Linked DNA regions of Macaca mulatta. The protein of the gene in region 1 purifies or fractionates together with the protein of each later gene. This does not show direct contact. Links are inferred from orthologs where the notes say so. Each region holds a gene or a part of one and is shown on either strand. Other genes may lie near its edges.

What was found.
Region 2: the proteins of CDK13 (region 1) and CCNK purify together in Homo sapiens (affinity purification with mass spectrometry; 4 studies listed by BioGRID and IntAct, counting the BioPlex papers as one, with this or other methods). This does not show direct contact. The link is inferred for Macaca mulatta from reciprocal best matches to the Homo sapiens genes CDK13 and CCNK.

Annotation. Positions count from the first base shown.
Region 1 is NC_133408.1:88,478,584-88,482,404, reverse strand, and holds part of CDK13 (cyclin-dependent kinase 13), read left to right. Parts: intron 1-2,486; coding exon 2,487-2,657; intron 2,658-3,821. UniProt on the Homo sapiens protein: Cyclin-dependent kinase which displays CTD kinase activity and is required for RNA splicing.
Region 2 is NC_133412.1:172,832,385-172,836,205, forward strand, and holds the end of CCNK (cyclin-K), read left to right. Parts: intron 1-1,976; coding exon 1,977-2,602; 3' UTR 2,603-3,332; downstream 3,333-3,821. UniProt on the Homo sapiens protein: Regulatory subunit of cyclin-dependent kinases that mediates activation of target kinases.

The DNA.
Region 1 (3,821 bases):
ATAATTTGGAGACAGCTTTATAATATTAGTTTTCCATATTAAAACATGGTTTCTTTTCATTCGTTCAGATCTAATTTTATGTTCTTCAGTCAGATGTTTTATTTTTTTTCTGTTGCATGTGTGTATTTCTTTTTAAGGCATTTTATTTTTGTTGCTGTGGTGTCTGGAAGTGTTTTTAAAAGCACATTTTCTATTTGATTATTGCAAATACTCAAAAATGTTTTAAATTATGTAATCTTGGAAAGTAATATTTGATAGTTAATATAATAACATTTAATATAGATAGTTTTTTAAGTTTTAAATTATAACTGAAATTAAAACTTTATTTTTTTGCTTTCAGAAATGTTGATTGAATCTTCAGATAACTCTTGACTAAAGCCTCATTACAAGTTAGAGACTATGGTTTTCAAATAAGTTATTCTAAATAGGCCTATTTTCAGTTGGCGTTCGGGTGATACCTTTTCTAGAAAGAAGCCTTTACTGTATTTCAGACTTGATTTAGCTACCCTTTAGCTACTACATTACTCTAGGAATCTGTTTGTATAACACTTTATCCTACTTCCTGTCTTCCAGACTGTAAGCTCTTTTTTGAAAGAAACTGTAGCTTAATGTGTTTGTTGTTAAATTTCCAGTGCCTTACAAAATACCTAGCACATGGAAGCTCATAATCAATATTTGCTGAATGGAGGGAGAGGAAAATTGAGAAGTGGGCTGTGTGATACATTATTTTAAAATTAAAACTACAGGCCTGACATGATGGCTCACGCCTATAATCCCAGCTCTCTGGGAGGCCAAGGCAGTTCTTTTGGATCACCTGAGGTCGGGAGTACAAGACCAGCCTGGCCAACATGGTGAAACCCTATCTCTACTAGAAATACAAAAAAATTAGCCGGGCATGGTGATGCGTGCCTGTAGTCCCAGCTACTTAGAAGGCTGAGGCAGGAGAATTGCTTGAACTCGGGAGGCGGAGGTTGCAGTGAGCTGAGATTGTGCCACTGCATTCCAGCCTGGGCAACAGAGCAAGACTCCGTCTTAAAGAAACAAAACAAAACTACAAACCAGTTTCTTTTAAAGCATGTTTTTTCTCTGTTAAAGAACCTTTCAGTGAGTAACACAGGACATACATTTACTATGATTATTAGGTCGTTTTTATCAGATGGTATTATTAAGTTTTTATCAAGTGGTATTAAAGGATTCATTTGTTTTACAGTATTATTATTCAACATGAATAGGAGAATAATTACAATTAAATTATTTACATTGATAATAATATCTTCAGTAATTTCTGATCACAGCAGTGTAGTTGGAATAAATTTTTTCACTATGGGACTCAACTGCTATGACAGTATGTGAAGTCCAAATTTTATTATCATTATGAGATTCTCTTTCAACATGTCACATTATATTAGATGACGTACTTTGTCATATCAGGGAAATTTAAAATAAATTGCCAAGTTAAGATATACTTTAAAACTCAGAGCTCTTTATGCATTCATAAAAAGTACAAAGCTAATGGAGTTTAAATTTCAACTGTAATTCTAGTAGGCTGGAATCTTAAAAAAATTAGAAGAATCATTGTCCAATTTAGAAAAATTAATTAACCCTGAAAAGGGTCAAAGCTGAATTAGCTGTGGATATTTAAATGGGCAAGATAAATACTATCATGTGCTTTCATTTATTTATTACAGTAAAACATCTTTTGTGTCTCTACCAGAATCAAAGTAAGTGCTTTGCAGCTGGGTGTTGTGAGGCCAAGGCGGGCAGATCACTTGAGGTCGGGAGTTCAAGACCAGCCTGGCCAACATGGTGAAACCCCGTCTCTACTAAAAATACAAAAATTAGCCGGGTGTGGTGGCAGGCACCTGTAATCCCAGCTATTTGGGAGGCTGAGACAAGAAAATCGCTTGAACCCAGGAGGTGGAGGTTGCAGTGAGCCAAGATCCTGCCACTGCACTCCAGCCTGGGCGACAGTGAGACTCCATCTCAAAAAAAAAAAAAAAAAAATGCTTTGCAAAACTGAGTTCTTATGCAAAGCATGTTTAGTTGATTTTCAATTTTAATGTACAGTTTTATAGTTAATTCTGTATTGTTTTAAAAAATAAACTTTATTTTTATAACAGTCTTATATTTATAGAAAAATTATGAAGATACTACAGGGACCCTGAATACCCTGTACCCAGTTTCCTTACTGTTAATATCTTACATCATTGTGGTACATTAGTTAACAATGAATCAATATTGATACAAAGTTCCTACCTTATACAGATTTCCTTAGTTTTTACCTAATTCTGTATCATTTTTACCCCAAATTTTGCATTTTACAGTTGAGTATAGTGTATTACTTTAGCTAGAAAGAAACTCAGACAATAGTCTTATAATGTGAAATATTGTTGAATATTCATGACTATTGCTGCTTAAATGTAAGACATAAGCACATTTTTATTACTTAACAAAATTTTTATTTGTCTGACTTCTTTCACTTTTAGCTTACGAGGAAATATTTCAGTAAAAGCAGTTAAAAAAGAAGTAGAAAAGAAACTCCGATGTCTTCTTGCTGATTTACCGCTGCCCCCTGAGCTACCAGGAGGAGATGATCTCTCAAAAAGTCCAGAGGAAAAGAAAACAGCAACACAATTACATAGTAAAAGGAGGCCTAAGTATGTGCTTGCTTTCTACCTGCTCTTAAATTGACCGGCAGTGATTCTGGGTCATCAGAAGTTCATAAAACACTAAATTAAGGTTTAAAATAAAAAATGTACTTATTCTTTCAACTTAAATATATGAATTCTATTACAGTTTTGAAAAAATTCATAATTGCTTGCATTCCTATTCACAGTGACTAATAAAACCAAATTTAATTTTCCTTCATAATTTGTAATGTATTAATTTCCTGGGGTATTGTATTTGTTTAAGATATTTTCTGTTATTAAGAGATTGAACACAGAAACACTTAAATTGGGCAGAGTAGAAGTCAGCATTTAGTGAGCCCAAATAAAATTAGTAATGGGCAAGCTGCTATTACCTTTGCTTTTAGCTCCATTTTCTCCTATAAACAAATACATTCTTTGTTTTGCAAGAGGTGGAGTAGAAGGTGGTTTGAAATTTGTATCCTAAATTAGCTTCAAGTAAGTGCCCAGAGAGACCTTTTTCCCTTAAAACCTGTTAATCAGTTAAAGGCGGGCAACACTGGTGCTTTTTTTTTTTTTTTTTTTTTTTTTTTAAACTTCCTAACCAAGGGACAGTGAGGACTTTAAGTTAGATCTGATTTTAGAATTGCAGTTGAGGTAGTATGTAGTGTGTGTGTTTGAGGTCGTTTTCTAAACTGGCCGGGCACAGTGGCTCATGCCTGTAATCCCAGCACTTTGGGAGGCCGAGATGGGAGAATCACTTGAGTCCAGGAGTTTGATACCAGCTTGAGCAACATAGGGAAACCCCATCTCTACAAAAAAAAAAAAAGAAAGAAAAAAGCCCGGTGTGGTGGTGCATGCCTGTGGTCCCAGCTGCTCAGGAGGCTAACGCAGGAGTATCACCAGAGCCAAAGAGGTCAGGGCTGTAATGAGCTATGATCGTGTGCTACTGTACTCCAGCCTGGGCGACAAAGCAAGACCCTGTTTCCAAAAAAAAAAAAAAAAAAAAAAAAGCCAAAAAATACTCTCTTCTTGAGCACTGTAATTTTATTCTTTTACTTGAATTTCTGTGATTTACTATAATATTAAAATACTACAAAATTATGTATCTTTTTGAAGAATGTAAGATTTTTGTCCTACCTATCCATCTGTATCTGCTTAAATGTGGATTCATGAGAGTTGGTTGTATTAATA
Region 2 (3,821 bases), on another chromosome or scaffold:
TACAGTTCCCCTGGTCCAAGCCTGGGGCTGTGCCTTCACTGAGGAGACGGATGGTTCACCTGGGGATCCCGGGGCGGCCAGAGAGGTGCTGCTGCCTCCAGGGCACTGAGTAGCTGCTGTGGAGGCCTCAGAGCTCTGCTCCCTCCCACATTACAGACAGCCAGGAGTAGGCCTGGGACTTGAGTGGGACCTGGGAACCAGATACACTGCCAGGAGGCCATGGCTGGAAAGAGCAGGGCCTGGGAGGCACAGTAAAGCTGGGCCACGAGGAACGGAGGGAAGCACGCTTCCTGGGAGGCCCTAGACCATGGGAAGAGGTGTTCAGGTCAGCAGTGATGTTTAGGGAGGGGTTTGGTGGCAGTGTATGGCACTTGGTCAGGAGCAAGTGTACAGAGGGAATGGGGTGCCGAGGATAGACCCCCACTTGCTGTTCGAGCTCAGTCACACAGCACAAGGGCGGGTGCACTGGTGACTTGAAGATTCAGGCTGCAGGGTCGAGTGTTGGAAGAGTTGGCTTCTGCAAGGTAGAGGAGCAGGCCTGTGGCCCAGGTGGCTGTGGAATGACACACAGGAGGCATTGAAGGGTGTCAGCGCTTTTCTGCACCTCTTTTTTAGTCAGCTTCTGGAACCACAGGGCATCTGGCCCTGACCTGGAGCCAAAGCCAGTTCTCTAAGGCCAGGCATATATGGCCTTCCTGCCCAGTGGCTGGCGAGGGCTGATCTGCACAGGCAGTCCCCAATGGCACACCTGTTACCAGCCCAATCAATCCTGCTCATGCTCGCTTTGGCAAGATCAAACGGGTTGTGTGCCAATGGCCACGTCTACACAACCAGGATGTCATGCTCTGCCTTCCCTAACCCAAGTGCCTGGGGAACCAGAAGCATCTTCATGGCCTTTGTCCTCTTTATGTTCTCTGGAACCAGAAATGTTGTGCCTATGGTTTGTCTCCTGTGCTGCCTTGGGAAAGGACACTCATTCTGTGTGTTTGGCTACTTGTGGTGGGGTGTTCCGACGCCATTTTCCAGGGGTCTGATGGTGACCAAGAGATCACAGGCCAAAATGTGTTAAATAAGGCTTTGGCGGAAGGGGGCATGAGGGCTCATGGGCTGGGAGGCGCTGCGGGAGGGGCCTGAGGCTGGTTCTGAGCACAAGTATCTTGGGTGTGCTTGACACCTAGTGCTGCCTATCCCTGCTGCATACACACAGCAGCACGCACACACACAGCAGCACGCACGCACACAGCAGCACGCACACACACAGCAGCACGCACACACACAGCAGCACGCACACACACAGCAGCACGCACACACACAGCAGCACGCACACACACGAAGCATGCACACACACGCAGCACGTAGCACGCAGCACGCACGCGCAGCACGCTTGCACACACTCCTCTCAAGGAGGCTGCTATCTGAGAGTACGCAGTGGGGTTTGATCTAACCCCTCTTGAGTAGAATAGAACCTGAATTGCTGCTTCGATGGGTACATTGGGAATGTCAGAGACTTGTACGGAATTATTTTAAATGCCATCACATTCATTTGACCAACTCTGAGGCTTTCTGCAAAATGCCACTGCTGCAGACAGGAGTTCAGTGTGGCCCTGACTCTTGGGGTCAGTTTCTGAAGGCAGAAAAACAGAGGAGCCCCCACACATTTTACACTAGGAAGAGGGGGCTGGGGCCAGGGCACAAGGGGGCTTCGTGTGCTGCCGAGACTGCCTGCGGGTGGTGTGGTTAGGGCTGAGGGAGGGAAACCCCAGCTCATCACAGACAGGGTGGAGGGCCTTTTTGACAAATGGTGGGGAGACATCTGGTGGCATCAGGACATGGGGAACGGGCCCATGTGTTGGGCCACAGAGGAAGGGGCAGCTGCTCCCTGCTCCTCTGTAAAGATGGCCCTGAAGGGCCAGGAGGCACTGAAAAAGCAGCTATTGCTTGCAGAGGCCGGGCACCAACACATCTCTCTCCTGCAGACCGGAAGCCTCCCCTCGCTGCTGCCTTAGGTGAGGCTGAGCCGCCGGGCCCTGTGGATGCCACTGACCTCCCCAAAGTCCAGATTCCTCCTCCGGCTCACCCGGCCCCTGTGCACCAGCCACCGCCGCTGCCACACCGGCCCCCGCCCCCGCCGCCCTCCAGCTACATGACTGGGATGTCCACCACCAGCTCCTACATGTCTGGAGAGGGCTACCAGAGCCTGCAGTCCATGATGAAGACCGAGGGACCCTCCTACGGCGCCCTGCCCCCCGCATACGGCCCACCTGCACACCTGCCCTACCACCCCCATGTCTACCCACCCAATCCGCCCCCACCACCTGTGCCTCCTCCCCCAGCCTCCTTCCCCCCACCTGCCATCCCGCCCCCTACTCCTGGCTACCCTCCACCCCCACCCACCTACAACCCCAACTTCCCACCCCCACCTCCACGCCTGCCCCCTACCCATGCAGTCCCCCCTCATCCTCCTCCAGGCTTGGGCCTGCCTCCAGCCAGCTACCCACCTCCTGCCGTGCCCCCTGGAGGACAGCCCCCTGTGCCCCCGCCCATTCCCCCACCTGGCATGCCTCCAGTTGGGGGACTGGGGCGGGCAGCCTGGATGAGATAACGTGAGCCTTTTTTTCCCCCTTTGTTTTTTTTAACAAGTTTTTCTAATCGACTTGCAGAGTAGTTGAAGTGGGTAAGCAGCAGGGTACCTTATATAATGCGCGACAGTTGCAGTATGGGAAGAATGGACCAGGCCCCTGGGATAAAATCAGGGTGGTCCTCACATCTAGAGGACGGGGACAGCCAGCTTTCAGAGTAGCCTCATCAGCGCCCTTGCAGTCTGACTGTGTACACTTGGTTCAGCTAATGTCTGAGAGTCCTGCACTGGGTTACTTTATACTAGTGAAGATGTTAACCAGCCATATTGGCTCAATAAATAGCTTCGGTAAGGAGTTAATTTCCTTCTAGAAATCAGTGCCTACTTTTCCTGGAAACTCATTTTAAATAGTCAAATTCCATCTGAAGTCAAGCTGTTGTCATTTTCATTCAATGACGTTCTCTCCCATGACACCCAGAAGGGTCAGAAGAACCACATTTTTGATTTATAGATGTTTGCATCCTTTGTATTAAAATCATTTTGAAGGGGTTGCCTCGTTGGATGGCTTTTTTTCCTCCAAGGAGAAGGGGAGAAATGTACTTGGAAAGTAATGTATGTTTACATCTATTTGCAAATTCCTGTACATAGAGATACATTTTTTAAGTGTGAATGTAACAACATACTGTGAATTCCATCTTGGTTACAAATGAGACTCCTTCAGTCAGTTATCCAAATAAAAGCAGTTCTGAAACTATCCCTTTCTCTGTTAATGGGTGGAAGGTAGGGCTCCAGGCCTTCGCAGTCCCCGGGTGATAACATTGTACAAGCCCCTCCTTCCGGACCCTGGGCACCGGGAGAGGCCTGGCTGCAGTTCACAGGAGCCAGAGCCAACCCCACTGCCTCCCAGGGCACTCTGGGTGGATCGGCACATTGGCCTGCCAAGCCAGCCTGCACCCATCCTGTGCCTGCCTTGGTTTCCTTTGGAGGACCTGGTTGAGTTCCAAACCAGCTTGAAACTTTCAAGCCTTGCTGCATAGAACACAGACGGGAACACAGGCTTGGGTTTGAAACCCTTTCCACTTCTGGCCTGCGATGAGACGGAGGCAGCTGGAGGAGCAGCGGCCTCGCCATCCACCTTGAGGGGCCAGGGCTGTGTCTGTGGAAGGGGCCCCGACTGAGCCCCCATCTGAGGTGCTTGAAGGGCCTTGGCCCTGTCTCTGCTTGCTGACCCTGCCACCCATGA